Linked DNA regions of Schizosaccharomyces pombe. The protein of the gene in region 2 interacts with the protein of the main gene of each other region in a pairwise test. Each region holds a gene or a part of one and is shown on either strand. Other genes may lie near its edges. The genes, in order: rmn1, spg4, SPOM_SPBC609.01 and spo7.

Region 1 (6,010 bases), on a different chromosome or scaffold from region 2:
GATGCGACGACTCTCGGAATCCTTTGTTTATATCACGGTCCGACATCTTGCACTCTCCATACATGCTACATTAGTTATAAAAAAACAATGTCAATGCTTTCTACTTTACGTACTGCAGGTTCTTTACGGACGTTTTCAAGAAGCGCCTGTTACTCTTTTGTAAGTTGTGAATTGGCTCCTAAGCGATAAATCGCTGGTTTAAGCAGCCTTACTCGTCTTTTCATGATTATTTGATCGATTATATTAACAGAGTTATTTTTAGCAGAGATTTTCTTCAACGAAGGCTGCCGCTGGGACATATGAAGGAGTAAAGAATGCCAACGGGAACTACACAGTAACGATGATTGCTGGCGATGGCATTGGTCCAGAAATTGCTCAGTCTGTAGAACGTATATTTAAGGCTGCAAAGGTTTGTCGAGTCATCCGTCATTTAGTCATTAACGACTTGTATTGTAGGTCCCTATCGAATGGGAACGTGTAAAAGTATATCCTATTTTGAAAAATGGTATGTCAAGTATAAGAGAAGATGGTTGGATTTGTATGCAGTTTGGCCTTTCTTTTATACGTTTTTGTCAGCAATGCTTGTTCCTGCTTGTCAAGTCCTTCCATGTCTCCTCGAGATTATCGCGCACGAAAATCACGTTTACTAATTCGTTTAGGTACTACTACTATTCCTGATGATGCTAAGGAATCTGTTAGGAAAAATAAAGTGGCTTTGAAAGGTCCATTGGCAACCCCAATTGGGAAGGGTCATGTTTCTATGAACCTTACTTTGCGTCGTACTTTCGGCTTGTTTGCCAATGTTCGTCCCTGTGTATCTATTACGGGATACAAAACACCTTATGATAACGTTAATACCGTTTTGATTCGTGAGAACACTGAGGGTGAATACTCAGGCATCGAGCATGAAGTTATACCAGGCGTTGTTCAATCGATTAAATTAATTACTCGCGCAGCATCTGAGCGTGTTATTCGTTATGCATTCCAATATGCTCGCCAAACTGGCAAGAACAACATCACCGTAGTCCACAAGGCTACCATTATGCGCATGGCTGACGGTTTATTTTTGGAATGCGCCAAGGAGCTTGCACCTGAATATCCTGATATCGAGCTTAGGGAGGAAATCTTGGATAACGCCTGCTTGAAGATTGTCACCGATCCTGTCCCTTATAACAACACAGTTATGGTTATGCCCAATTTATACGGTGATATTGTTTCTGATATGTGCGCTGGTTTAATTGGCGGTCTTGGTTTGACTCCTTCCGGAAACATTGGCAACCAAGCTTCCATCTTTGAAGCTGTTCATGGTACTGCCCCTGATATTGCTGGAAAAGGTTTAGCCAACCCTACTGCTTTACTGTTATCTTCTGTAATGATGTTGAAGCACATGAATTTAAATGATTATGCCAAACGCATCGAATCAGGTATGTGTTTTACTAAATTAAGATTTTGTCTGTTTACTAATTACCATTAGCTATCTTTGATACCCTTGCAAACAATCCCGATGCTCGCACCAAGGATTTGGGCGGCAAGTCAAACAATGTTCAATATACCGATGCCATTATTTCTAAACTGAAGTAACATGCCCATTTTGTTTACTTCTTGCTATGAACACTGAATTTATGTTTCTTTCCTTATCATGAGTTTTCTCTCCTAGCCGATTTTTGTTACCACTTTTAATGAATTGTGTAACGATTTGAGTTGTAATTCGGAAGCATTAACTCTTTTGTATCAAAAAACCGAATTGATCGAAATGTTAGTTACAAATATTTCAATATGAAATCTCCATTTTTGAAATGCTTATTGCACTCTATAAGATTAATCAATTAGTTGCTTATATTTTATGACAGCCGCATACAATGCAGCCCATTAATTCATTCTCTGAAAAACTTTTGTAAAAGTAAATAAACTAGCGCCATCTTCCTTCTTCTACCTCTATGTTCATGTTGTCGCTTGTATTAGATTCGCCAGTCTCCATGGATGTAGTATTAGTTGTAACAGCTGTTTTTGGCACCCACGCCAACTCCAATTCTTGAAGTTTTTCAACGTTCCGAACTCCACCAAAAAACTAAAATTTGTTAACTTGAAATTTTTTCTGTCAGAGAAAGAATCAGCTACATACCTTTTCAGCGGAATTTCTATTCTGAAAACTGATAAGACGTTCAGTAGTTGAAGGTTCAGTAATTTCCTCATATCCTCCAACAGTGAATAAGTATTGCAACAAAGCTTCATTTTTTTCAGGAGAAACATTTATTACACGAAGCTTAGTTGGACGATTATCGATGGACATTGACGCAAACATATCACCTCGTCCGCGACCTCTGCCACGGAAAAATGTGTTGGTACCTCGCTGGGGAAGTCCTGAAGCGTAAGGATGATGAGAACCATTAGATGCCGCTGGGCTTTCAGAAACGTTGCTCACAGGTAACCCTAAGCAATCAGCCTCAGCCTTCAAAAGAGAATGCTGAGTTTCTAACAACATGAGTCTTTTGTTTCCTGAACGGTCAGTTTCCTTAATTTTTTGCATCAGTAACTCTTGTTCTTTTAATTGTTGCTGTGCAAGCTCGCGCTTTTTTTGGTTAAGTTCTTCTAGTGCCTTTTTATTAGCATTTATGCGTTTTAAACGTTCTTCGTGCTGCCTTTGCCTTTCTTCAATCAGTTTATGAAACTCTTCGTTTTGTAACAAAGAAGCAGGATCGACATCTTCAGAACTCTCTACATTCGACGAATCGGAAGTAGTGGGAGATTTATGGGATGCAAACTTCTTTGGTCGATTGTGAAATCCCTTTGACGGATTATACCAAAATATTTTAATAAAGCGATTGTTAAATATGGGCTCAGGCGAGGACCAAGCATTGTTGGCAGCCTCATGGGAAGTGAATTCTAACACACAAGAATGATGTGTCGGATTTAATTCGACTTTCTCCAATACACCGAACTTTGAAAAAAAGGACCTAATGTTCTCCTCATTAAAATGCTCTTCCGGAATGTTTCGCACTTCTAAAGCAGTACTTGTTGGATCATTGCCAGCGTTACGAGAGAAGCGATGTCCCAGATGGGGTTGGGGATACGCTTTGTATGGATTAAATCTTCGATTACCAGGAGAATGCCTACGAAGTTCACTATTATGCTCATGGCGCATGCCAAATCCTCTTTTACCTCGCATCTTAAATGGGGGAGGGAAAGGAGGCTGCGCCGCAGGATTAAATGGTAAGAATGGTATGGGAGGCATTGCAGGATTTGGTAAGTTTCCAAACCCAGGAATACTGGGCATGAATTCAGAAGGTGCTGTGGCTGCTGGATGGTACAACGGAGGTCCAAACATATTAGGCACCTGAGAGGGAAAAGTGTTTGTTTTTCCTACAGCAGGTAAAGAATTATTAAAATTGGTTTCCATGCTGTTGGTGGCAGGGATCATTGATGAAGTTGGCGAATACCTTGAAACTTCTTCAGTCACCATACCGGTTGACGGCATATTTGAAGCACCCTCCAAGTAAGATTTTTCACGTAAAACATCAAAAATTTTATCAACAAAAGGAATTGTCTCCTGTCGCAAAAAATCTTCTAGTTGTGAGTAGCATAACTGGCGAACTTCTTCTTCAGAAGAATCGTGCCTTAACAATGCCATAGCATAATCTGATAAAACACTTGCATCAGCATCAGAACTAGTCATTTCGTTAGCATATTGATAAACAATTTTTTAGCGTGTAAAAAAAAAAATCACGCAAATTGGCAACTCAAAAAAAATTACATACATTGGCTCCAACGCCTGTTCTAAATATCTTTTCAAATACTAAAAGCGTTAATTCGGCATCTTAAAAATAAAATTACCTCAGCATGTTCTTCTAAGAACAACGGCATTGTGATGGAGCAAAGTGCTGGTTGTTGGAGCGTTACGCATGGTTGAGCCAGTAAGAAAATATAGATCACATAAGGTAAAATCTTTAACAATTAGCCAGAAAGTTCAAAAAGAATAAACATAATACCAAAATAATAACAAATGTCTTAGCTAGGGCAATTGGCTGGGATAAAATTTAACTGAGTAGTCGACATTAGATAAGGAATAGGAAGGTTTGCATAATATTACTCGTATTTAGACTACTAATATACAATGTATTTTAAGTCAAACTCTGACGATTATGAGAGTTTCGAAAGAGTTCACTTGTCTCCAATTATTTCATTGATTAAATTGTCAGCACAACAGTGAGTAAACGTGTTAGCTATATGCACTTTTTTATATTTTAGCACCACTTATAAATAGTTAATTTTAACGGTGGAGTGATTACATTTATATTAAATTATTTGAAAACCTAACTCGTCAAGAGAGCTAATGAACGTCCGGTATAGTCCGCATGAGTAAGTTGAAAATTAAAAAAAAAGGAAGTCTCTACATAAGAAGAGAAGAAGTTTTGCTTATGTACATGCGAAAACGCTTTTTACCCATTTTTTAAAAAAAAAGGTGATGTAGAAAGAAAAGAAAGATTATAAGTCGGGAATGAAAGATAATAGTTTAAGTTGACAGAACAAGATAAGGAAGTTAAGTGACAGCAACTTTCAATTAAGCCTTTATTTAAACCCTTCCAATTAAGATGAGGCAAGTAAATGATCAAGATGTGTAATGAATCATCAACATCCTTTTTTTAATTATCCAACGATAAATCCTATTTCAGTGGGTCTGTAAAGCAATCTCATATCCCAACATAAAAGGAAATGTCCTTAAAAGTATCCTAATAAATTCAAATCGGGTAAGTATGTAATAAAAGTATAACGACAATAACTGATCAATAATATAGCGAAAGGCGCCAGCAACAACGGATAGCAAAAAAAAAAATAGCTGAAAATTTTAATCAAAATTTACGTTATGAAAAATGACAAATACTAGAACAGTATAAACATGAAAAGCATTAACAACGTTGAAAAGGAAATAAACGATCGCATCCTTTATAAATAGGATAAGGGTATAAGTAAATCTAGTTCTGTTTAGAAGAAGGAGATTCAGAGGACTCGTTACTCTGTATGCTATTGTTTTTTCTATGTATTGAAGCAAAATATGAAGAACGAAAAGCTTCCCAACCTTCGATCACCAATATGTCAAATCGTTTGCTTGATAATATAAGATGGACACCACAATCCAAAGGCTTTCTCACCTGGAACCACGGGACAGGAGTTATAACAAGGCGAATGTTAAAAAACCTCATCGCTTTGTTGACTTGTTGAACATAACGTGATGGATATACTATTGTAGTCCGATACAATCCAGAAAAATAAAAGAGCAAAAGTGTAACAATTCCGCATAAAAGACAAAGTTTGTAAGTCAAATCAATCAACGAGTATTTTGAGATGCGATAAAAGACGCGATAGCCAAAGTAAAAGTTCCACACCAATAGTGAGACATAGAAAGCCATATACTTTTGACGACGAACTTGAAGCTGTAGGTATGTTTTCCGAAACGATGCCTCTAAAATTAACAAGTTGTGATATACGGACAGGGTGTTGGGCACATAAGAGGACATGGCATTTTATTCACTCTTAACAATACGTAGGAAAAAGAATAAAAAGATATAAAGAACTTGAAAAACAGAATATAAGAAAGCTTTTTGGAGATAACAATAATTGGACAATATCCAACACCAATTACAAGAAGTCGTTATGAAGACCACAGAATGAGATATGTGCGTAACATAAGAACTAATTCAATTAGTAATAGTACAAGCCGATGATTCTAAAACAATAAAAGAACAGCCCTTCTAATTTGCTGATTCAAGTATCAATCGGATGGCAGATTCTAAAAGTCAATGTCAAAGCTACGCGCCGATAGCTATAATATCAATAGTGTGCAGCTGTCTACTTCGATATGTGCTATAGTAAACGATAGTAAACGTTGGTATACTGTATAACGATGCAAAATATAGTGAGGGAGTGTTAACTGTGTTCATTATTTGGTAAACATCAAAGTCTTAAAAAGTTCCGACCAATGGATTAGAAAGCTTTTACTGACATCTTTTTACTA
Region 2 (6,575 bases):
CATTCACACTACGGAAATGTGCTTAATTGTAAAGAGAAAAGAAGTTCAGATGTATTGGCGAATTTTTAAGAAGGCTCCAAAGAATGTTCAATATTATTTTCGGGTAAAGCTACAGAAATAGGAGCAATAGCGGGCATGTTTGCAACGGGCATTGAAATCGGTAGATAGCCTAAGAAAGAATTTGTAAAAGATTGGGGCGTTAGTGGTGAATTCGTTGTAGGGATATGCATAACAGGTGGTGTATAAGCGACTGAAGGAAGACCCGAGAGCACAGTAGGGACAGCAGGTAGTGGAGTCGCATAGTGAGCGTATGATAATTGCAAGGGTCTCCCGCCATAACGATAACCATTTAATTTTTCAATTGAGGATGCTGCATCATTTTCATTCTCAAATTGAACGACACCGAAACCTTTAGATCGGCCAGTGGGCTCATAGGCGATTCGGGCACGAATGACTGAGCCAATATCTGTGAATAGGTCCAATAAATTGCGATCTGAGGTGGCCCAAGGTAACTATATTCAGTCAGTAATCTCCAAAAAAAACTTAAAATGATGCGGAAAACTAATCCCACAAAAGCGTCCTTATATACATACATTTCCAACGTAAATGCAATCCGAGCAGGGTCCATGGGGATACGCATGATAAACTAAATCCTCGACTTGAGTATTAGCACCTAACATGGGTAGATAGGTGGATGATGTAGTCATTTGCATTTCCGCTGGAAACGTATAGCCATTTCCATGAGTGGAATACGGCTTACTTTTATGATGTGCAAACCGATCTAGGCGAACTTCTAAAGTGCGGCCCATGAAATCAGTGTTATGCAACATTTGAATGGCATGCATGGCTTCTTTCATCGAACTCATGACAACAATCCCAATGCCACGGGATCGGCCTTCTTGGTTCATTTGGATATCAGCTCGGATAACAGAACCAGCTTGTCTAAACAAATCCTTTAAATCTTGCCAGCGAACGTTATACGGTAACTATACTCGTTAGTACCATTTCTTATTTGCAATTCCACAATTCATTAAAATACCAAAGTTCGAGGAAAAGAATATAGAGGATTAGAAATTGAACTTACGTTACCAACAAACAATTGCCTGTCTGGCTCAGAATCTTTGCCATTCGACGACGCGCTAGGCGATACTGAAGAGGAGCCAAATCTTGCATTTTGTTCTCGATCCTTTACGAAGGTTAATAAGCGACATAAAAAAAATCTTACTTCACGGATATAAACAAGACGGCCCATAAATTTTTGGTTGCTCAGAGTTTTAATTGCCGTGCGCGCTTCTTCAGCAGTAGAGTACTCAATTATCGCGCATCCCTGATATATTAGCTAGACTATTCACAATCTGAGTATACGACAAATTTTAGGATAAGCTATAGGCCATAAGTAATCGTTTAAAAGTAACGTTCAATTGGATCGATTCAACGTTACAATTTAAATAGACAATGATTTACTAGTCGCATGAAACCCACCCTCTATGAAGCAAACTTACCTTCGATAATCCATTCGGAAGATTCAAAATCTCACAATTAAGAACATTGCCAACTTGTCCCATAAACTCTTTCAACTCAAACCAACGAACTTGATATGACAAATTACCAACATACACGCGACGCTCTTGTTGAGTGTACTTTTGGCCATTTCCCAAGTGAGGGTCTCTTTCAGTGTGCTCTCCATCAAAATGCAAGCCACGTTTCAATGAATTGCTTCCGTTGACATGTCGCTTCGGAGACTCCGATCTGTCACGATCCATATTGGAAGACGATGAATTCAAGGAACTTGACACATCCAACTTACTACCCATTCCTGAATCAAATTCATTCTATTTGATCAGCTAAATCAATCAATAGTTATCATACCCATTCTATAGGTTTAGGCATCGCAAGAGCATAAGCTGAGTGTGCATCTTCACATAATTAAAGCATCCCAACAACTTGACTTCTATAGTGTAACTGCAATATAATTTCGTAAGTGATATACTGTAAACTCTTAGATTCGCTAAAAGAACAATAGAATAAAAAAACTGTAAACATTTAAATTATAAATATTGACATGTACTGACTAATTAATCATAGTAAGGAGTTTTAGTTGTTTGTAAATGAGTCGTAATAAAAATGGAAACTCAAACAATAACTAGGGTTAGAGATAACCTCAGTTAATATTAAGTGTTTGAAAAATTCAAAGACTGTGCATAAATTGTATCAACAAAAAAGAGACAAACGAATATATTAGGAGTAAACAAAAAGGCTTTTGGTACAGCACCATTATTATCATCATGAATAATTCCTTGAGGCAAAAGTTGTCCTTATTAGTTATAATCATAAGTTTGCACAAGCCATGTATTAAAAGACAATAAATAAATTTTCAACGTGATTACCAAAAAAATCGGTATCAGGCTAGGAATTTTAAATAAGAAGACAGACTCAATGCCCTTGGGATCCGAACTCTTTGTCCCATTCTGAATATCGTTCCAGCCCTTGCAAGTTCACACTAGGCCGGATTACCTTGATACTAGTTTTAAAGTCATCTAAATTAATCGGCCTAATCGACTCCATTTTCGTGAATAGCAAAGACTCACCTAAACTTCGCAAAGGCCCCATAGCTGCGTCTTTTGCCAATGCTGTCAAATCAGAGCCAGAGTAATATTCGGTTGCTTTCACAATAGCCTCAATATCCTCTAAGGAAAGAGAATGCTTCTGATATTTTAAAAGGTTATTTAAATGTAAGCGACGAGTGGTCTCATCAGGGAGGGGAATGTAGGTACGACGGACAAATCGTCTACGAGCAGCATCGTCGATACACCAAGGCAAATTGGTAGCGGCAAGCACTAGAACTCTTGGGTGATCGGCGGTTTGTCGAGATGCAGCTGCTCTTGCAAGCGAAGACCACTGAATTAAGAATTCTGTTTTTATTCTTCTCGATGTTTCATGCTCATTTCCATCACTGCTTCTAGCAGAAAGCAGTGAATCAATTTCGTCAACAAAAATGATGCTTGGAGACAGCTTTTTTGCTAAAGTGAAGAGAGCACGAACAAGTTTTTCGGATTCACCCAAAAACTTGGATGTTAAACTAGAAGCTGAAATAGAAAAAAAGACAGAACGGGATTCAGTAGCAACAGCTCGCGCAAGCATTGTCTTACCAGTTCCTGGAGGCCCAAAAAGAAGCATCCCCCTAGCTGGTTCCCGCAAGCCTTGGAACAAATCTGGACGCAAGAACGGATACACCACTGCCTCTTTTAAAGAGTGCTTAGCAAATTCTAACCCAGAAATATCATCCCAATGAACTTCATCACCCGAAACCACGATTTCTCGAAGTATACTCTTACCAAGCTCTTCGTCGATGTCTGGACATTCACGCAGAATTTGTTCTTGCTTTTCAGAAGTCATTGCAGAGATAGATGTGGATTGAAACTGCTTTTCAATAATCTCTTCTTCGTTTGTGTGGTTGAAAAATTCATCGCCATCAACCGGCGAATCTTTCTCTTCACAGGAAGAAAGCCCCTGTTCGGAAGCTGGATAGAGATCACTCAGAAAAGGGTTGTTCACAGATAAACGTGGCGGTGTAAGGAAATCCAGATCTTGCGCAGTTTCAGTGGAAGCAGATTGAGCTCGTGGAGCTGACTGAGGAGTGGGAGATGGCGATTTTGTAACTGACGAAACAGAAGCGAGAGATGGCGCGACGGTTGCGATTGAGGTAGATGACTTTGATAACTGTTTTGATATAGAAGGTACTTCAGTGGTACGATTAGGGAGATGGGATTGCGTTTTCTTTTTGAAGGGTGAGGAAGAGGAGGAAATAGAAGAGTAAGTTCGGCGGGCAGCTTCAATAACGGCGGAGTTATCGGGAGTTGGACGATGACGCTCAACCTGAAACGATGATCGAGATGCCTGCGCTGCTTCCGATGATATGTATGATGGCGGGAGAGCATGCTTAGGCTTAGATGAATTCAAAGATCCCCAAGCCAATAGAGCTGCTCGATTGGCATTGTTCTGGGTAGAGACTTCAGCTGGAAGTCCAGTCCTAGCAAGCGATTTACTTGGAGGAAGCACTGATTTACTCTTGACACTGGCCTTTTTAGCAGATTTAACAGCGCTATGTGTTTCTAGTTCACCAGCGCCTTTACGCAACGAAGTCCGCGAAGCTGTAGGTGAAGAGGACATAGATGTTCGCGGAATATTAGGTTTTAAGGATGCCGTTGTCACTTTAGATTGTAAAGGAGCTGTTCTATTTTGACGCTCAAAAGAAGACGCACTATAGTTACCATCATCGATAAATGAGCGATCGCCAGGACCATTTCCACTTATATAAGCAACATTAGCGCTACCAGTAGAAGATTGTGTTACAAGTGACTTTTGTGTATTTTGAATATCCTTATAAGCAGCTTCTTGTTGCGCAATCTCTTTGGTAAGGAACTCAATTCGAATGGTCAACTGCTCCAACATGCAGAGTAATGTTTCCACATAATGTCTATCTTCATAATCCATCACGTGTAAGCGTTCCCTCGCATACTTAAACTCTGGATTCATGAGAATGTTCCGCTTGGCCTTTTGAAATAAAGCGATAGCCTCCACATAGTCAGCAGTCTGCTCTTTATGAATTGCAACGGCGGCATATGACTGTGTGACGTTATAGCAGTCTTCAAGGCTCATTTTTGTGCATTCTTTAACGTCTACAACTGATTAAAAACAATTACCTTTCAATGGAAAGAGGTTAAATCGGCTCGATTGGAAACGTTATTCTCTTTCTATATTGGCTGAAGTGCACAAACTACACTTCTCCTTTTATATCCTATTACCTTATTAAATATTGTTTTCGTACAAGCAGAATGCGGCATGCAAATACAAATCGTAGATATAGTGATACAAAGTTAAAGATAAAATTTCTCACTAAAACCACGATTTTGTCGGAAAACTTGATAAAGTCTACAAAAATAAATACAAAACTAGCAACAGCACTAATTATATGCGTGAATAGAAGTTCTATGATATACGCACTGTGCTTGTTGAGTTTTAAATCTTTACGGTTGGTTTTGGTGTAGCGAAGAATAATGATGGGTAAATGACGCATCTTCATCATTTACACAAAAAAACTCTTTTTGCTATATGAGAATTGAAAATTAGTTTACTTACAATAAATAATACCTTTAAAACCATTTCACTATTAATCTTAATATTTGCTTGGTCCAACTCCGTTCACCAGTCCAGCATATTCTCATCCTTACTTATAAGATATATTAGTCACAATCTTCCACGTGTATCCCAAAAAAAATGTATAAAAATAATATTAATTGAATGTTACAGGATTTTTAAGGTTAAATAACAAAACATTTATTCTTTTTGCCATCATGTTCAATATAAAACCAAAGGAAATTACAAAGAACAACACTTCATAAAAAAATTGTCGAATACTTGTCTAACAAATTTCCATCATCAGCAAATACTCAAACCACCATAAGCTGATTGGAATTTCTGCATATAAAAAAATCATTAAAGAACGTTGCATTATATCATGTATTGTGAATTCATCTCAATAAAAAAAGTGCCAGTATAAACAACATCCTTTGTATCGTAAACTGCTAACTCATCGAATATATATGACCAAATGATTTAATTGCTTTGAGAATGAAATTATAGAAGTAAAAGTGTAAAAGTGCAACAACTTGATTAATGGGAAAACAAACCAATAGTGTTGCTAATGCACTCTTACGAGCTAGAATTCATCGACAGCACTTGAGCAGACTTGGTTCGTAAAATCGGATTCGTTCTTCTGGGGTGAGGGTGGCTGTAGTGTTGAATGCGTTGCAACTCACCGACAAAGCTTTGACCCCAGAATTGACTGGTATACTTATTAACATATCGGAATAATTTATTCTCATTAGCCTCACGTTGTTTCTCCGGCATAGTGAGGGCATCATGAATGGAGTTTGCTAATTCCTCCGTGTTCCATGGATTAATTACAATACTACCATTGAGTGACTGGGCAGCACCGGCAAATTCACTAAGAATTAGGGCACCATGTCTCTCTTGTTGAGTGCAAATGTACTCGTATGAAACAAGATTCATACCATCACGAGTTGAGGTAATTAAACAAACGTCTGAAACGTTATACAGAGCAACCAGCTCTTCAAAGCGAACACTTTTATGTAAGAAATGAATAGGTGTATATTCAACAGTACCAAAACGACCGTTAATACGGCCAACAAGCTCATTGACAACGGCTCTAAGATTCTGATACTCTTCGACATCTTGACGAGAAGGAACGGCAACTTGAACCAACACGACCTTTCCAACCCATTCAGGGTATTGTTCTAAGAACACTTCAAAGGCATGGAATTTTTGGGGAACACCCTTAATGTAGTCCAAACGATCGACACCCACAATCACCTTAACGCCTTGTAGTCTACGTTCGATGCTTGCAATGCGATCCTTTACCACGTCAGACTTCAGAGCATCAGAGAACTTTTCGGGATCAATACCGATGGGGAAGGTGCCGACGCTGACCATTTGACCATTGTATTCCACACCGTTAGGTAGTGTGCTAAGATTAAGGATACGAGAGCATGCAG
Region 3 (9,450 bases), on a different chromosome or scaffold from region 2:
ATACAGAAAACAACAAAATACGGTTTAAACGTGAACTCAAACAATTTAAATGTTACTTACTGGATTTCAAAACATAATTTCTACATAAATTTTATTTTTTTCATTAGGGCTAAATGATTACAAAAAGACTTCATATGAAAACTGTAGCCCTGGGATGAAAACTATATTCAATATTCAAAACAAACATTGAGTTTTTGCCTGCTTAGGCAAAGGCACAAATATTTCAAAAGATAGGGTAGGGTTGGTTGAAAACAGTCACGCCATGCTACCAAAAGTTTTTTCCAGACGGTAGGTACAGTGTAGACTTTACACGATGGCACCTGGACTGGTTGTTGGTTTAAACAAGGGAAAGACTTTGACTAAGCGTCAACTTCCTGAGCGTCCTTCTCGCCGCAAGGGACATTTGTCCAAGCGTACTGCTTTCGTCCGATCTATTGTGCGTGAAGTTGCTGGATTTGCTCCTTATGAACGCCGTGTCATGGAATTGATCCGTAACTCCCAAGACAAGCGTGCTCGCAAGCTTGCCAAGAAGAGAGTAAGTAACCTTTTGAGTGCATTTAATTTAATTTTTTTTTTTTTAATTTTGTGAATGAATACTAACAGGTTTTAGCTCGGTACTTTGAAGCGTGCCAAGGGTAAAATCGAAGAGCTCACTAGTGTCATCCAGAGCTCCAGATTGGCCCATTAAACTTGTCTTCCATATAATAAAATTACTTTAGCAAATATCAACTTGTTATGATGCGTAGTTGTGTACGAGAGGTAAATGGTAACTCTCAATAGTTATCAAAAAGAATAATTATCGTGCTTTTATTGGCTTAAGGCATATTCTTACAAAGGATTTGAGAATTGGTACAATCACACCAGTTTTTTTTTTTTTTTTGCTTTTCATATTAACTAAATGGGAGTGTAGAAGAACCTACAATACTAGAAGGTTTACCGATTTTGGAGAATACATAAAATGCATGAATGACTGTTGCAAACTTTTGTTTGTGTAAAGACTGAGTGAATGTCTTTGCAATTAGATTTGGCGATAGGAGGTTACTATTTACCATGTAGTAAATTATACTTGTAAACTTAGATTACGTGCATTTAAGAATAATTTAAAAAAATAAACGAAATACAAGGAACTCCCGCAAATTCCTGTAATGCTATGATTCCTTTTTTAAAACGTAATTTAACAAAATATGCGGTTTTAAACATACTGTTTACTTTTGACTCAATAGGTGACTTATGAGTTGCGACGGGAAGAAGTGCCAAAACCCCTAAGATCAACAGAGGAATTACCGATGGGCAAAGTGAATTTTAAGAGAAAGTTAAAAGTGCAAATGATTAATGCTTTCCTATTCCGAAGAAAGTATTTCCTTATAGTTCCTTTTTCCACTTGAATTATTAAGACCTCAAAGTTGAGATTTATTTACCTTTGTAAAAAGCTCTTTCAACAATGTCTTATTGTTTATTAATTCATTACTCATTCAAATCAGAACGCCTTACAAAGTCCTACATATCTTTACCGATATGTTACAAATTCGTTATTAAAGTTTACAGGAACGGAACGATTTCTTTACAAAACTGATTCAGTGACTCTGTCTCTCCCGTTATACTAGCCTTACGATTCAAGTCCATTTCATTATCCAATGTTGCCAGCGACCATGGATCCATTAATGGCTGATTTTAAGATGAGTTCATGGACAGCTTCGGGTTGGCCACAATTAGGCAACCAGTAAATCACCTTACTTGTCTTCCTCCATGTAACTCGTAGATCTTACACATTGGAGTAGCACGCTACTTGAATTGTTATGAATGATCAAGTTGCTAGAAAAAACAGGAAATCGTTTTTGTAGACAAGTCGATGACAATGGAAAAGAAAACAGAGTTGGGAAAGAAATAAAGGAAGTAAACAAAAAAGCGATATACTGGTTTTCGCATTTCCAGCATATATTGGAGCCGATCACATTATCCCATACATAGCTAAATACAGATAATCAAGATATGGAGTGGATATAAACTGATTGCTTTTACTTTCAGCTGATGTTTTGAATTCTTTTCATGTTACTTTTGATTACTACTTGAATTCAAGTGGAAGTGGTTTTCAAAAAAAGTTGCATCTGCGCTATACACTTACTTTAGTACATACACTAACCACTTGCTGCTCTTTAGGAAAAGACCGTGGCCACCACACATTCACTAAGTGGGGGATAAAAGCTGCAACCGTCTATAGTTAAAGGAAGGGACAACGACCGCCACATAACTACCTGATGGGGGCAACTAACAAAGACGGGTTTTCTTCCTTCATTGCCATCCCATCTCGCTTGTTATCTAACCTTGTTTCATAATTTCTTGCAGCCAATCATTGTCATGGCGAGAACCCTTAAGACGCAACACCAACCAACCAGCTTTGACGTCACTTGATATCGCTAACCCGTTTGCGACATTTAACGAGAGCACTGATGGCAACCTTCGTTAGAAGGGAAACTACAGTCAAATGGTAATGCGAAGAAAGGGATTTCCAGTATTTTTCTTTCATGGAAAAAAGAGTGTTGATATATTTGGATGATCGGTTAATTTCATACTACGCTTTTTCCTTCTTTGCGCCGTTTCTGCCACTTCTACTCAAGCTCTTCACCTGTTTTCCCTCTTGTTAGCTCAATGCCCTTCGACATTTTTTCAAATGTCTCTTACTGCCTTGCTGCGTTGCTCTGTTCAGTGTAGTCGTTATCGCTCGAGTTCAGTACGCTCAAAACTGAACCCATTGTGTTTTCATAATTTGCCTCGCTTTTTCGCTCTATCAAATTACCTATAATGCGAAAATTACTGTCTACGTAATATCTACGGTTTCGCTATTGGATTTCGGATGGCGGCGGCCAAAGTAGTGAGCGTTGCCTTATTTCATTATGGGATTCATCATCCTTAAGTATTAGTGTGTGTGATCCATTAGCGTCCATCCCACTACTGTTAAGCAAACATCGTTACATCGTGTAACTAATCTTGCTTTCGGAACTTGATTCAACTCACATTCTCATCTTTCATACATACGTATCTTTTCCACCTTGCGCATTTTCGGTTAGGCTGGCAAATTCCCCCAATCATAAAAAAATCGGCGACGCTCTTAGTTTGCTCGATTCTTGGAAAATCCTCAACAGGCGCCTGAATTTTTAAGTCGCTATACGTTAAACTTGAGCCCCTTTTTTATTTCCTTGCTACCGTCATTCTCGTCGTCTCGGAAAAACAGCTTAAACCTTGTTGCTGGTAAAGCAGGTTTGTAAAGATTTTTCCTCTTGTTTTCATTTCTTCTTTTGTCTTATCGCCCTTGGTTCGTTGCCTCTACAACACCTACCTAACACTTGCGACCACCTCATTTTACTCTTTTTTAAGCACCTGTCTCATCAATTGACAGTGCCAATTGGTTGAAAATCGCTACAACCGTCATTCGATTCCGTTCCATTCTTGTACATAAAGATAATCCAAAACTTGGTGGATGTTGGCTTTAGCGCTATTGTAAAAAAAAAATTGCTTTAAAAGTCAATCAAGTTTTCCTTCGTTGTTTGTTTTAGTAAATTTTTGTCTTCTTCTTCTTCTTCTTTTTGGCCTGGTTGGGTTTGGCTTGGTAAATTCATTATTTCTTCAAGTTTCATTGACACCGTTTCATTTTGTCATATACGATAATTAACGAAAGCTCTCCATACACTCCATTCAACGAGCATTGTATTTTACTCCATCATCTGTTACCGCATTTGCTTGCTTCTCTTCACTGCATATCAATTGGATCATTCCTGCTTACGATCCACCATATCCATTGCTTTTTCTCCTTTTTTTGTTATTTCTTACATTTTTGTGTTTTCATACTCTACATTACTAACTTCCTCTGTCATCGTCATAATTACCACCTGTCATCGTCTTTGCTCTTTACATACTCTAAACCACCTTTCTCATCTGGATACGTTGAAACACCGTCATCTTGTATGAGGAAAAAGCAGTACTATATTGGTTTCGTTTGTTGCTACAATCTTTGGGTTTTCGCTCTGCCAATCTCTCCTACAGGAATTGTCCTTGTACTCCCCAGTGAATAGGCGCACATTCAAAAGCATCAGCGTATCGAGATACTTTTTCACAATCTCATACTCTCTCTCCTTCTTTCTTCTCCATTTTTTTGTTTCTTTGCATTACTGCGTCCCCACAATAATTGACGAGGACTACTGTAACCTTCGTTCAAACCGTTTCCTCTGATCGTTTTTGTTTTGGTTTTCCTTGAAATACTTGCAAATCGAATAGATTTACTTTTTTGTCTGGTCTCTGTTTCACTCTCTACATATTAAATTTCCGTAAACATCTTTCTTCGTTTAAGACAGTGTCTTTCAAAAAAAAATCAACAATAACGATACGGTCAACTCATTTCAACTAATAAAAAATAATGGATCCTCATTGGAAAAGACACGATTCTTCAAACATTCCTACACAGCCTTCACCTTCCGCCTCTCCCAAATCAAATAAACCTTCCTCTGCTCAGAGGTTTGGTAATCTTCCTTGGGTTGGTAAGTTTTGTCAAGTTCGATGAAGTATCCTGCAACTATGAAATAAGTTTTTCTTTGAATTTTGAATTTTTTTTTTTCATCTTGCTAGATTCTTCAGCTTTTTTCTTCTACCAGAGTATTTATCACTAACTCAGTTATTTAGCTCCAGACGTAATCCAATCTCAAATCGAGTATTTACAGGCACTGCAAATGCAGCAATCTCTCTCTGAATCTGAGAATTACTTACAGCCAAACTTTTTCCCTTTCCAATCCGGTCCGTTCTCAAAATCTCGAAGGGAGAACACATTGTTGCCCAGATTAAACCCGCTTGCACCTATTGGAGCAAGACAGCCTAATCCTTCAATTCCACAGCAATTTTCCAAGCCTATCAATGAATCTGGTACTGGTACAATGGGTCCTGCAGTAGGAGAGCTCACCAGCCCTGTGATGAAGAATCGAGCGGAATCGATATTCAGTCCGGTAACTGAGTCTTTTGAAGCATTTACTCAAGGGATGCAGACAACTCCACAACGAGCTGGAGCAGGTGTTTCGACTGCTACATCGCATACAAGACGTCGTTCTTCTGCTGGTACAGATCCTTTTTCTCCGGTTTCGCCTTCAAATCCAAATTTCCTGACGCCTTTGAAACCTATAGATGGAAATCAGGAATGGCAGCAATCACCTTTAGAGTCTCCCTTGTCTATGCATTCTTTGCAGGAAAGCTTACACAGCGTTGAACCTGAATCTCCGATTTTTCAACAGGCTCCGCAAATCCCTTTGTCAAATGCTTCTCAACAATCCTACATCAATCATTCATCTGATGGAGCTTCTCTTCCTCAAAGCTCCTTTTTAAATTTTAACAGTAGCGGAAAACGGGTCTCCGTTTCTGCTGCTGCCCAACAGCACAAAAATCTTTTTCTTCCTTATCTTCCCCAAGCGTCCCTTCCGAAGTTCATTGGTACTGGTAAGTTGCTTGTTGGGACCCTTCACATAAATCGTAAAAATCGTTCTGATGCATACGTTATTACGGACGTGCTTGACGAGCCTATTTTTATTTGCGGATCCAAGGACAGAAATAGGACTTTGGAAGGGGATTTGGTAGCCGTCGAACTTTTGGATGTTAATGAAATTATGCAAACGAAGAGAGAGAAAGAGGAGAAGAAGATTCGCCGTAACCTATCCCTCTCTGGTTCTTCTAAGTATTCAGTCAACAGTAAAGCAAAAATGATGTCTATCAGTACACCCATGGCTTTAGGAATGAATAGGGGTGTTCTTTCGTTTGAAAGGTCTATTGAGAAACGGAAGAACGATTACGAGGTAACCGGCCAGAGTCTTTCGTTTGTCGACGATGTTTCACTTACTCCCGATTCTGCTCCAAAATACGCAGGTCATGTCGTTGCTGTACTCAACAGACCTAGCGGTGAAACTTGCTCAGGCACTTTAGCGTTGTATAGACCCAATAGCCTTGCTTTGAAGAATCAGTCCTCTCATCGAAGAAATTCATCCACATCCAGTGGTGAAACGGGAAAAGGCCCTAAAATTGTTTGGTTCAAACCAAGTGACAAGCGTATTCCTCTTATTGCTATATCTAGTGACCAAGTACCCCCTACCTTTTTTACAAATAACGACGATTTTAAGGATAAGGTATTTTTGGCTGGCATCAAGAGATGGCCTACTACGTCCTTGCATCCTTTTGGAACGCTATATGAAAGTATTGGAACAATTGGGGACCCCAAGGTGGAGTACAAAGCAATTCTTCACGATTTCAGTTGCCACACATATGACTTCCCTGAATCCCTTTCTCATTGTGTTAAAAGATTACCTACGCCTATCCCTGCAGAAGAGCTACAAAAGCGATACAATTTACGAGATAAGTTAACCTTCATGATTGGAACGCGTGATTATGCTCTCCATATTGATACAGGCTCCATCGACGGAGTCATCACACTTGGAATACACGTTGCAGACGTCGCGTATTACGTTAAGCAAGATATGCCTCTTGATGATGAAGCTGCCAATAGAGTATCAGAAGTACAATTGTTGCAAGGTTCCGTACCCTTTTTACCGAAAAAGGTCTCAGAAGAGATTTCCCTTATAGAGGGACATGATTGTTTAACAATTAGTATAGTTGTACAGCTTGATTTGAAAAGCGGCGCTGTTTTACAGTGTTCCCTTGGGCCCTCTGTAATCCACCCGTCAAGTTTTATTAGTTTAGAAAGTGCACAAGCAAACTTGCAAACCAACGAAGCGCTTCAGCTAGTTGATGCATCGGCCCATGTCCTTACCAAACTAAGATTGAAAACAGATAAGAAACTTGACTTACAATCCTTATACTGCTTTGAATTTTGCGATGGGCAGATTCCTAATATACAGAATATTAACATGAGTATTTTTGAGGCATTCCCTATTGCATGTTCTTTACAACAAATTGAACATTGGGTAAACGAGAAAGTTGCATCTCATTTAATGTCTGTTTTTCCCAGTAAAGTGATTTTGCGAAAAAATCAAAGACCTTCTGACTTTGCATCTCTTGTTGCAGTTTCTGAGTTAACCGGAGTGAATTTATCTGCTTCATCTACTCCTTCGGAAATCATGACCGAAATTGCAACTACCAAGGATAAGAGAACCAAAATGTTACTACAATTGACTCTAAGAAGAATGTGTAATGAATCTGAATACACTATCGGTACTTCAAATGCTAAGGATGTTTCGCATTTTGTGTTCTCTTGTCCTTACTACACCCATTTTTGTCACCCTACTCGTAGATATATCGATATATGTGTACAGAGACAATTACGCGAAGCCTTTGATGGCAGACCAGACTTTTCCAAAGACTACAGAAGTTTACTTTCTATAACTCAGTCTTGTAACACACTGAGCAACTTCTACCGTAATGCCCAGGAAAAAAGTCTACATGCATATTTATGTCAACTTCTCCATTCTATTAATTTACGATCTGGGCTCGTTAAGCATAAGGCTTTTGTTTTGGCTGTTGACCAGGAGTATATTGACATAGTCATATACGAATTTGGCTTGGAAAGAAGGATCTCCTTGGATCTGCTACCGCTTAGTAACTGCGACTTTAATGAGCAAAAACACGAACTCTATTTATCATGGAGGACAAATGCTTCTTTCTTTTATGCTTCATCTTCTTTGGAAATTGATACACCTTGTTTCAATGACTTTAAGAAAAAATTTTTGGATTCCAACGGGATGTGCAAACAAATATGCGATATGATGGATGCACAGGTTCGGGATTTAGCTAACGCTGCTGAGTCCCAGGAGTCTTTCTATTCAAAGGCTCGAGGCAATGACAGTACTAGTAAAACAGCTAAAAGTTCCTCTGGCAATCAGGATATTTCCGGAGATGGAAAACTTCATAGTTTACGTATGAAAGAGCCTGAGGTTGTTCAAACCATCCGTCCAGGCCAAGAGGTTAGTGTACTTATATTTGCTGATACTTCCGCTACTTACTCACTCTCGTTAATTACTTTACAAAGTCCTCTATCCAGTTAATCTTCAATAACTGGTGATCTTCGCTAATGTGTATGCCTCACGATTTATTTTTAATGTATGATTAATTGCATATGTCTAACGTTATATACTTCTACCACTTATTTCTTTTTACCTAAACGTTTTGGATTTATTTTAGAGGATTCGAATAATCGCATGGGTTTGTTTGTTTTTTGGTGGACTTAAATGTTTTTAAGGATTTTTATCAAAATATTTTAATGCTTATTTACGGTTCATGTCTTACGATTGTATTTCTTATTGGCTTTTTTTATTCATTTTTCTCATTTTTTTTTTTTTATTTCTTTATTATTTTTTTTTACTAGTAATACTTTTGCATCGTTTAAAGGGAAAAGTTATGCCCTTATGTTTTTTTCAATAAAATGGATTATCAAATCATTGCTATCAAAATATATAAATAATTAAAAGTAAATTAGTTATTTATTCACGTCACTATGGTTGATACCTACCCGCTTAAAGTTCATTACTAAAATCTTTATTGTATTTCTCTTATTTTCTTCTGAACAGTGCAGCTTACCTCATATTTCAACAGTCAACGGCATCTGCAGTATTATCCTAGTATATTACAAATAACTAATTAAACATGTAATTTTCCATGAATATACTTCGATCAGTAGTTTCGAGGGGTCGAAAAGGCCTCAAACAAGAAAAAGTGAATCGTAGCTTTGCTTACTTAGATATGGTTTATATTACTTCCAAGGTAATTGCTATGTCTACACCGGCTGCTGGAATACATAAGTTATATCGAAACGACGAATTGGATGTATTTAAATATCTTACAACGCAATTGAAAGACAACTGGATATTGTTGAATTTATGTGCCGAAGAAACAGTTTACCATTTGGAATTATTTAAACCAAATGTCATAAATTATGGATTTCAAGATCATAATCCACCTCCGCTTCTCTTTTTATGGGCTATTGTTATGAATATGGATGCACTCTTTCAAACGCAACCTTTGTTGACATTGGTAGTTCATTGTAAGGCCGGAAAAGGACGTACAGGAACTGTAATATGTAGCTACTTGGTAGCTTTCGGAGGCTTGACAGCCAAGCAAAGTCTTGAACTATATACTGAAAAAAGAATGGTTCGAGGGCACGGTCTTACCATTTCATCGCAAATACGTTACGTCTATTATATCGAAATTTTAAAACAGTTCCCGAATTATTTGAAAGCTGTGGAATTTAATACTGGTACCACTTTTTTTAAAAGTTTTAAATGTTTGAATATTAAAAAAAATTCATCTTTGATTCTATCATTGCATGCCTTCTCTAAGGGACGAAACATAAATCCAGTTGCTCTGTGGAAGAGTTCAGATATATCATCCCATAATGTAAGCATAAAAGAAGGAAAACGTATATGGGGGATACAATGCAACCTAGAAACATCGGAGAAAGACCTTTTGCTCAGA
Region 4 (8,992 bases), 230 kb from region 2:
TTGGTGCTTGGGATTTAAAAAAGAGGTGAGAGGAACGTAAAATAAATCTTTCACTTCACCTGTCCCAAGTGAAGGAAGGGAGGTTTGCACCGAAAACGCAAGGTAAGCCCGAATCTCAGTCTTTTCATCTCTGGTGAATAATGGAGGGAAAGTAGTCAAGTAAGTAAAAAAATTAGGGAGGAATCCAATTTCCTCGTAAGTTTCTCTTAATGCCGCATAATAATGAGAACCGTCTGAAGGTTCCACACGGCCACCAGGAAAGCACATTTGTCCAGCATGAGAACGCAAGTTTGGAGAACGTTGCGTGAGTAGTAAAGAAGCTCCTTGAGAAGTGTTTACTAGAGGCATCAAAACAGATGCAAATCTCGTAGGCTGGTTAGTTGGTTTTAATGGTAAGGTGGGGCGATTTTTGTGTAATAGGTATATTTGATGAGAAAGAGAATCCATGGTCAAATCTCCGTTCTCGTTTACCACGCCATTACTCACCAATTTCTCAAGCGGCGACTGGTGAAGATAGGTTACATGGTGCGATTGACTGCTGAAATAATGCCTTTGGATGTATTTAATAGCTTCAAAACAAACTTGATTGTTTAAAATACTATTTCTTTTTGAAAAAGTATTCTTTAGAGGACTCCAAATAAAGCCTACCAAAGAGTTTTGCCTTGTTAAAAATCGTTGATGACCTTTCCAGCGGAGCTTTAGCTTCATAATTTGGGATTTCTTGTCCAACTCTGCGAATTCCGCTTTTCACCAGGCGTTGGAATGTAGAACTTCTAGCAATCTAAAATTGATTAGTACGTATATCTATTAAGATGAAGTCGTTTTATACCCTTGATGCGACGTAGGTGGAAAGTAACTCTACTATAATTCGTTGAATCATACAAAGTCAATAATAATTTAAAGGTAGAAGAATAATTATGAGTACGTTTTATCAATAGTGATTCTTTAAATATCGGGCAATTGTTAAACGCCTGCACAAAAGACGCGATATGTGCTCAGGTTATGTTAACCGTTAGCGCCCTCCATTGCGACGTGACTTTGCAAAGAAGGATTATGTAGAGTTTTATCTAAGCGAGAAAAAATTAATCAGAAATTAATGCTTAAAACAGTATTATAAATCAACGAAGGTGAAATATAAAAGTACTGCAATTTCTTTCTGTTTCTATAATTGCTTTATTCCTTATTAATTGCATACACCTCTACTCATATTGTTTTATTTCAAAATAGGTGAAACTTGGACTTTAGCATTCTGGTAGCTATAGCATGTATCCAAGTTCTCGCAAGCTGTTTGATTAAGTATCTAAGTAAAGTTACTATTGTAAGTTTAAAGCTAAAATGAGCGGTAACCAACGTAGTTATTCAGTTTCAACGAGCGCGTATTAAGGCATTTGAAATAATCCCATCGAAGCATATATTGCAATAATGAAATATTCTATAACTGGATGTTATCAGAAGTTTAAGCATAAAAAAATAATAAAATGACAAAAGATTTGTCAAATCTAAATAAAATCAAAATACTTTATTTGGAACTCTCGACAACTATTAACCCTCTTCTTCAGAAGCTAAAAAAAAGATATCTAAGTAGCATTCTCTCAATCGGAGGCCTAATGTCTTTTCATCACTCAAGTTTATTTATTCGTTTAACTACTTTGAATGAAATTTAATTTTATAATCCTTTAAAATCATAAGGATATCTTACAGGAGATAAAGTTGGGTAGAAATCATGGGATTTCCGATATTCGTACTCGCATTCCAAAACTCGCTGGTACTCTTTGTACATCATTGATCGTTCATATAGAAACTTCATCTTTCTATTCCAATTATCCATTGCTTTGAGGTAATTTTTAGATCCGGCGGCAAAACATTTCTCCATTTTTTCAGGCAAAGACTGGAAAAGAAGGCAGGTTTCCAGTAAAGAAGGAACACAATCTCGTAAAATATGAACCTTATCACGCAGTGGACGAGGAATGTCTTGTAATCCTTGAATGTCCATTGGACTCCACCGTGTTAATTGAGCCAGGTCACCGACAAAGGTCTTGGTTCCATCAGCAGCAGTATAATAAGCCTTTTTCTCAGCTCTTGTTAAAATGTACCCCCAACCATATTCAGTGTTTGTAATATTTTCTGGTAGAGGAGGGCAAGTAATCATGGCTGCATTAAAATTTAAAGAATGAATCCATTCGTTCATCGCTAATACGCTGGGCGCTTCAAAAAGATAGCACTCATTTCCTGGAATATTTAGATAAAAGACATTATTGCGATTAGAATTAATTGATGGAGGTAAATTGGGAGATGCCAAGCAAGATTGCAAGCCAAATTCTCTATGGATGGGGCTAACATTTGAGCAAGCATTTGGATCTAAATGATCTGACTTATAAAAGATTAGTTTTCCACTATCGACAATACAGTACTTTTTCTTCCAATAACCTGCTACCCATCTATTGTTTTTGCTTAAAACCATTTTCTTATATGAAATCATGCCTCGTCGGTGCCATGGTAACCTGTTATGAGTCTTTTCTTCTTGCATATGATGAGTGTAATTAAACACCGAAAAATGTGGTCTACCATCTATAACTGATGGTTCAGGAAGATCAATCTCCTTTCCTGCGTAAATTCCTCCATTCTCTTCATTCAAAACAAACGAAGATTCCTTAAAAGCATCACTTTCAAGACTCGTGCTGTTTTTGTTTCCAGAACTCTCCTGCTTTAGTAATTTTGAACTTTTCATTAATTCAGATATCAGAGATGATCGATTCCTTTTGGGAGTCAAATCACCTCTTACTTGGTTGTGCAACTGTGCTTGCACGGCATTTGGTACTGCAAATGGAGACTTCAGAAACGTATCATAATATTCTTTTAGCATGCATTCAAGTATGAAACCGATATCGCTTGGTAAATTGCTCCACGTTGAGAAAAGCAATTTGGCAAACGTTGATCGGTTCTTCTTATATTTGAGCCAATGCTTTTTGTCCTCCTTCGACAAAATACAAACTGAATCTGGAGATATGAGAGGACGAAGTTTCTCGAGAGCATATTTCACAAAAGTTTCCATCGGAACGACATAAGAATTGAGCTTTTTAGAATAGGTTGATTTATGTAAATCAATTAAAATCAATACTATTTTAACAATAATGTCTTCATTTAAAAACCCATAATTACTATTTTGCTTAAGCCAACAAGATGCGAAGACTTGCAAAATAGGAGAGTGTATGTAATCATCCGAGCCATAGTAAAGATCACAGCATAATTTTTGAAAGGAAGCGTAAACATTTAAACTTGAAAAGTCATAGTGTGATATGAATTTTACATACACATTTTCATATTCAGATCCCAAACTAGCAAACCAATCTGTAAAATTGTACGACAATAGCTGCTTCTCTAGCAAATTCCGTAAGCAATTGGATAAATTAATGGGGTCCTTAAACTCTGAATTGTGACATACCTCGAACAATTTCAGTTGAGAACGGTCGTGTAAATTCAAAATAGTTAAAAGTGATCGTGGAACTTTAATTCTTGGATTGTTTTTAAATTCCAAAGAATTGGGAGTTGCTATTTCTTCGGAATTGAGATCACTCTTGCTATCACTTATAAGCAAAAACTCTTCTTTAAACTTTGAAGCGCTCAGACCTTCGTTAGCAAACGTTTCATCTTCATAATCTTGTAGGAACGTTTCCTGAATATCCATAGTTTTGACATCTGGATTCACAAAAACTTTTTCGCCAACCTGCTGACTATTTATGCGTGAATTGCGTAAATTGCGCATCTTGCGAATTTCTTCAGCTGCGTTTTCATGGTGAACTGACTGAGACTTAATCTGACTTTGCAATTGTTGAATATAGCTACGTTCATCATGACTAAGATGCTCTCGGTCATCCAATAGTAATTTTGAAATTGAAACTAGACCTTCGGGGGTTTTGGGTGAAGAAAACCGATTTTCACGCAACATTATTTCGTTTGTAATACCAACCTCCGAAAGCACTGAATAATACGCAACCAACGATTGTTTTAAGCAAGAAATCTGCTTTAGTGGTATTCTTTGGAATCTTGAATAAACTAACGCAAATTGGTGTTCCGCGATGTCTAAAGGGTATTTCCTGAGCAAAAGTTTTGCTAATTTGCAAAAATATAGGCGGTCAGAAAGATTTTCAAGTAAATACATTTTGGGATCAGCATTAGCAAGCTCATTTTTAGTGTTAAGTTTCGATACCTGTATACGACTATTGATTTTGTGTTCAGTAGCGTTCAAAGTTCTTGGATGAGGGTTCAACTCTAAATTTTTTTCCATTTTTATGCTCGGGTGTACATTACCATTTCCAGCTAGACACGCTCTCTCAATTTTTGAAATAACTTTCTCTGATGGATTAACTACCTTAGATATGCTGGAATGGGATGTCGGTTCAACATTGTTTATCGATTGTGGCATGTAAATATTTCCTAGTTGTTTGGCTAGTTGTTTAACATGACCCTTGGGAGGAGCCTCAGATGTCGGTGCCTTTGTTGTAGGAGCCTTTGTTGTAGGAGACTCTGCTGCAGCCAATGCTTGTGGTTGTACTGAATTAGAATCTTGGTTCATTAGTAGCGCAGTCTTTTCCCTTATCACTTGCAAAAACTTCTGAGAAGTTGTCAGAACTGAATCACCGACTGACACTTTTGGTGGTACTTCCATTGAACCATTTTTAGCAGCAAATAGGTTTATAGCTTCCTTTATTCTGTTACATTTTCTGGTGGAAGCCCGATAATTAGGACCTAAATTAAAGGGATTCTCTTCTAAAGCATTTGTAGTATGCCCTTTAGATAAATTTGAAACATAGTCCCTTTTTCTATTTCTCTCCCTAGCTAGCTCGATCCTTGCTCTAACATTTTCCCCGGAATACTTCCCCTGAATCCTCCTCTTAGCAGATAAACTAATTTTTTTTGAAGGAAATATTTCCTGAGGAAAATTGGTAACGACTATCGGAGGCGGCGTTCTTTGGCGCTTTTTAGAAGATGGAAGTTCTTCTTCATAATCTTTCAAATCACGTTTTAATGAGTAAGAACCAGAGGAAGCTCGTACGCCGTTGCCGAACATGGATTGAGAAGGATGAGAGTTTACGGGTTCACTAAATATTCGTTTAGGCTGAAGGCTTAAATCAGAAAGTTCACCATTTGTTCGAGGACGCCGGGTTTTAATAAACGATTCTTTGTTGCTTAACTTGCTTTTAACGTTAAACATATGATTGTTTTCAGCCAAGATTTTCTCAGACTCCACAGAATTGGCATTGGAATTGAGAAAAGAGCGACGATGACTTATAAATTCCTGAATCTGCTTCAAGCGTGTCCTTCTCTGAGAAGATTTGTCTTCTCCAGAAATATTTTCCGTTTTGCTTTTAGCGCCTTCCGTATGCAAATTTTCTTGACAAATTATTCCCTTTGATTCCTCAAGTTTGCAAAAATCGGTTGTAACTTTAGACCGCTTCAACTTCGAAAGCAACGCTGAATGCTTTTGGCCGGAAGTATAGGTAGGCTTTGATTCTCTCACAGGACGACAAGTGATGCGACTATCATTGCACGATTCCAACTTTGCAATTTTTTCCGAAACACTTAAGCTTGTTGGGGAAGATCCTTCTGTTATTCTAAAATCCATTCTACCTTTTTCGTGGATAATTATACAATTGATTAAAAGAAATTAATAGTTATGTCGGAAGAACGCTTAAAAAATACAATATGAATATAGGAATTCTTTCAATCGGTTGATCGCGAAAGCAATTAGGATAATTATGTAAGTTTTGTAAGGACAATTATCAAAATTGTTTCCTTAAATATTTATACAAACCGTCAGTTTTGAGGGAGGTTGAGGGTAAAGGAAAAATAGGCAAAACAAATAGCTTATGTCTTAAAACACCTCATTGCATTAGACCTAGCGAACAAACTATTTGTTTACGTTTGTAAATGTCAACACACGTTGATTACATCGGGAACAACATAAACCAATAAAACGAATTTTAGGATCATTTAATAATTTCTTTGACAAAATCGAAACAATAACAACTTTAAGGGAAACCATATCCGATTATAGGAGCAACAATCTGACCTTCCCAATGCTGAAGAAAGCTAATCAGTTCTACAGCTGAAATTTATCTATAGATCGCAAAAAGAATCAAAGGGAAAATCGATATCGTTTCACAAAATGTTCCCAACTTTTTTGGACTTTTCATACGAAAGTAACTGATACGATAATAGAATGAGTTTTTATCTCATTTATGTAAAATGACTACCTTTGTTGAGTAAAATTGAGCAATTATAAATTAAGCATATTCATATTGATCCATAAAATAAAAATTTGTTGCTAACATAAAGTCAACAGCGAACCGAAGTTTGAACGTAACCACTTGGGATAAAATTTTTATTGGATCGAAATCATTTGCATGATAATGGAAATAGTTGCTATTACATTTGTTACTGTTAGCTGAGGTGTGGTGTGCTGTCGAAGCCCTTGTTTAAGACTCAATAAATTCTAGCCGGCAGCCATCTCTAATGGAGTCCAACGTGAACGATGAAATAGAAAAGGCATTTGCCAAAGATTCTGAGTTAGCAAAAGATATAATCAAACAATATGGTAAGGTTTGAGTACATGCTTTTTTCCTTAGTCTAATGAAATTAGGGAAAACAAAAAGTATACAGCCTCTAGTGCATCGAATTTGCAAGTACATCAATACATTGCAAAAGGAAAACGAATCAGGCCAAGTGAAGGAGGCTGGAAGTTTAAAACGAAAGGATCGTGTTCAACATGAGTTAGGTCAATTGGTCTATGGAGTACTTAATCTATCGTTTCAGGCACCTATGCGAAAAAAGCTAGACGTCTACATTTATGAAAATGGAATAGCAGTAACATTACCAGGCGAACCCAATTTAATTGAATTTTGGCTTCCCTGGAATGAAATTCGTTGTGCAATCCATGTCCCATGTCCAAGGAAAGCTAATGTTCAAAACAACTTTGTGATCATCCTTAAAAGTGAATCGTCGGCAGAAAATATTGTTTCAAGTGATAATGTAAAAGAACCTGTCTTTTTTACGGCACCGTATCCTTTGAAAAAGCTCAACCTCGTTGAAGGTTTACGATCCTTCACCCACTGCACGAACTCATGGGATATTTTTCGCGATTACTTTGAGTTTATTGGCACTAGTACTTTGTCTCCTTCTGTCGAAGAATTTGTTTGTCCAAACCCGCAAACGGGGGACAATGGCACGACATATGGGGTTGAAGCAAACTATAAAGCTAAAGATGGTATGCAAAGGATGAATTCTGTGTCAAAATTGCTAATCAAATAGGGCATTTATTTTTTCTGCGTACTGGCATACTATGGGGCTTCCGTAAACCTATACTTTTCATTGAACTAGCTAGCATCCAGCATTTTTCCTATAGTAATGTTTTGCAACGAACATTTACAGTTAATTTTGAAGCTGGTGGTACAATATATTCATTCGATATGGTTGATCAAAGTGTCTTTAGAGCAGTAAATGATTACGCGACAAAGCATGGACTAATGGACTCCAGTCTTGCTGAAGAAAAAGCTGCACCAGTCCCTAAAAATCCATCTGTTTCATATTTGAATGAGGCATCATCTCTTGAAAATGTTGATGATATGGATGATATTGATGTTAAAGAACCTTTATTCTCTGATAACGACGAGGATGTCGAAAACAGCGACAGCGAGGACGGTAGCGAATCTATCGGTTCAGAGGACGAAGAATAGAAAGTTGAATGTACATAAATTTTTTTCTGTTTTATTTATTACCAGTTTGTTTTAATTTAAGGATTTAAATAAATTTAAAGTCTTCTAGCAAAAGGTTATCTGTGAGCTATCCAAATTTGTTTTAGACTCAAGTTATACACAAAGTTGTCGCAGGATACATTTTTTGTTGATAGTTTAAAAAGTGTGGATCTGGACTTTGTGTGCTAATCAATAGATTTACGCTCCCACTTGTTTGAGTTTTCTCAAAAATTACCCGACCAACATGTAAATATTTTCTATAATACTAATTTATGAAAATTCCTAATTACCTTATTCGATCTGCCGCTCTTAAAAAAGGTATATAATGTAAATAGCGGTTATTTAAAGTTCCTGATGTTCATTTTAACAGAAGGGTAGCTGAGTTTAAGCAAGAATTACCTGAACTGCCCATAATTTAATTCACAATTAGCATAAATCTTTAAAAACTCTTTCACGAGATTTTTTAATTATTTTTTTCAAAAAAAAAGACGACTATAAGTAACTAATTGTTTAATTTTTTACATTAGTTTTTTTCTTTGTCAATAAATTACTAAAATCTTTTTCTGAATGTAAGAAATTAAATAATTTAACAATATATCAACTCATCGACTGTTATTGAAGGATCTTCTTCTTAAAAAGAAAGAAAATTAATTTAAGACAATAGAAATGTTTTTGATTGATATTAATGATTAGCTCTTCTAAAATGCTGTTGCAATTTATCTAATCATTATTTATTTACATTTTAGTTAAAAAGCTATGTTCATAACGTACGGTAAAAAAAATAGGTGACACTTACGCAGTTCAGTGTCTTTTTTAACGATACGTAAAACCCGGTGATAATTCTTGTGACCTATTATATTATAATAAGTAGGTTAATAAGCGCTGACCAATGTAGGTATTATATATATGGGTCAAACTGTTACCTGTCACTAAATAGTGCTTATTACTGTACCTCGTTTCTCAGTTAAGTTGTAACTCTATTTATAATCTTACTGATAATTTTTCTAGAAAAATATCCTAGTAAATAAGAGGATAATGTCCGCAATGATCAATACGCGGATCTAACTGGTATTCTAATATATGACATATAGTGATGAATACCCTAATGTAATATAGCGTAGTGTAGTATTGCTTGCACAATAAAACTTTATACCCCCATGCGTTATTAAAATTAAAGAGGCATAACAGAAATTATTTCCAACAAATTTTCGAATCCTATAATGCTAATTCAATCCTAGAGC

Evidence for each region.
Region 1: the proteins of spg4 (region 2) and rmn1 interact in a two-hybrid assay, tested with the Schizosaccharomyces pombe proteins (one large-scale study listed by BioGRID).
Region 3: the proteins of spg4 (region 2) and SPOM_SPBC609.01 interact in a two-hybrid assay, tested with the Schizosaccharomyces pombe proteins (one large-scale study listed by BioGRID).
Region 4: the proteins of spg4 (region 2) and spo7 interact in a two-hybrid assay, tested with the Schizosaccharomyces pombe proteins (one large-scale study listed by BioGRID).

Annotation. Positions count from the first base shown.
Region 1 is NC_003423.3:487,733-493,742, reverse strand, and holds rmn1 (MTREC (exosome adaptor) complex RNA-binding subunit Rmn1), read right to left. Parts: upstream 3,888-6,010; 5' UTR 3,862-3,887; coding exon 3,832-3,861; exon of another isoform or gene 3,794-3,831; coding exon 3,756-3,793; exon of another isoform or gene 3,666-3,755; coding exon 2,123-3,665; intron 2,069-2,122; coding exon 1,910-2,068; 3' UTR 1,582-1,909; downstream 1-1,581. Other genes in the region: idh2 (isocitrate dehydrogenase (NAD+) subunit 2), read left to right, coding at 88-159, 263-409, 457-505, 660-1,424, 1,475-1,581; protein phosphatase regulator Nem2, read right to left, coding at 4,971-5,513.
Region 2 is NC_003424.3:3,479,993-3,486,567, reverse strand, and holds spg4 (AAA domain-containing protein), read right to left. Parts: upstream 5,012-6,575; 5' UTR 4,660-5,011; coding exon 2,434-4,659; 3' UTR 1,963-2,433; downstream 1-1,962. Other genes in the region: hrb1 (RNA-binding and mRNA export factor), read right to left, coding at 66-512, 594-986, 1,085-1,186, 1,226-1,327, 1,503-1,832, 1,870-1,890; tps1 (alpha,alpha-trehalose-phosphate synthase (UDP-forming)), read right to left, coding at 5,713-6,575.
Region 3 is NC_003423.3:3,153,189-3,162,638, forward strand, and holds SPOM_SPBC609.01 (Dis3-like exonuclease family protein), read left to right. Parts: upstream 1-2,940; 5' UTR 2,941-4,408; coding exon 4,409-4,529; exon of another isoform or gene 4,530-4,671; coding exon 4,672-8,024; 3' UTR 8,025-8,428; downstream 8,429-9,450. Other genes in the region: rpl3602 (60S ribosomal protein L36), read left to right, coding at 314-535, 611-688; phosphatidylinositol-3,4,5-trisphosphate3-phosphatase Ptn1, read left to right, coding at 8,635-9,450.
Region 4 is NC_003424.3:3,245,229-3,254,220, reverse strand, and holds spo7 (ArfGEF Spo7), read right to left. Parts: upstream 6,463-8,992; 5' UTR 5,624-6,462; coding exon 1,667-5,623; 3' UTR 1,340-1,666; downstream 1-1,339. Other genes in the region: pcd1 (coenzyme A diphosphatase), read right to left, coding at 1-708; histone H3.3 H4 heterotetramer chaperone Rtt106, read left to right, coding at 6,514-6,595, 6,641-7,264, 7,309-7,733. UniProt on the Schizosaccharomyces pombe protein: Appears to have a role in sporulation.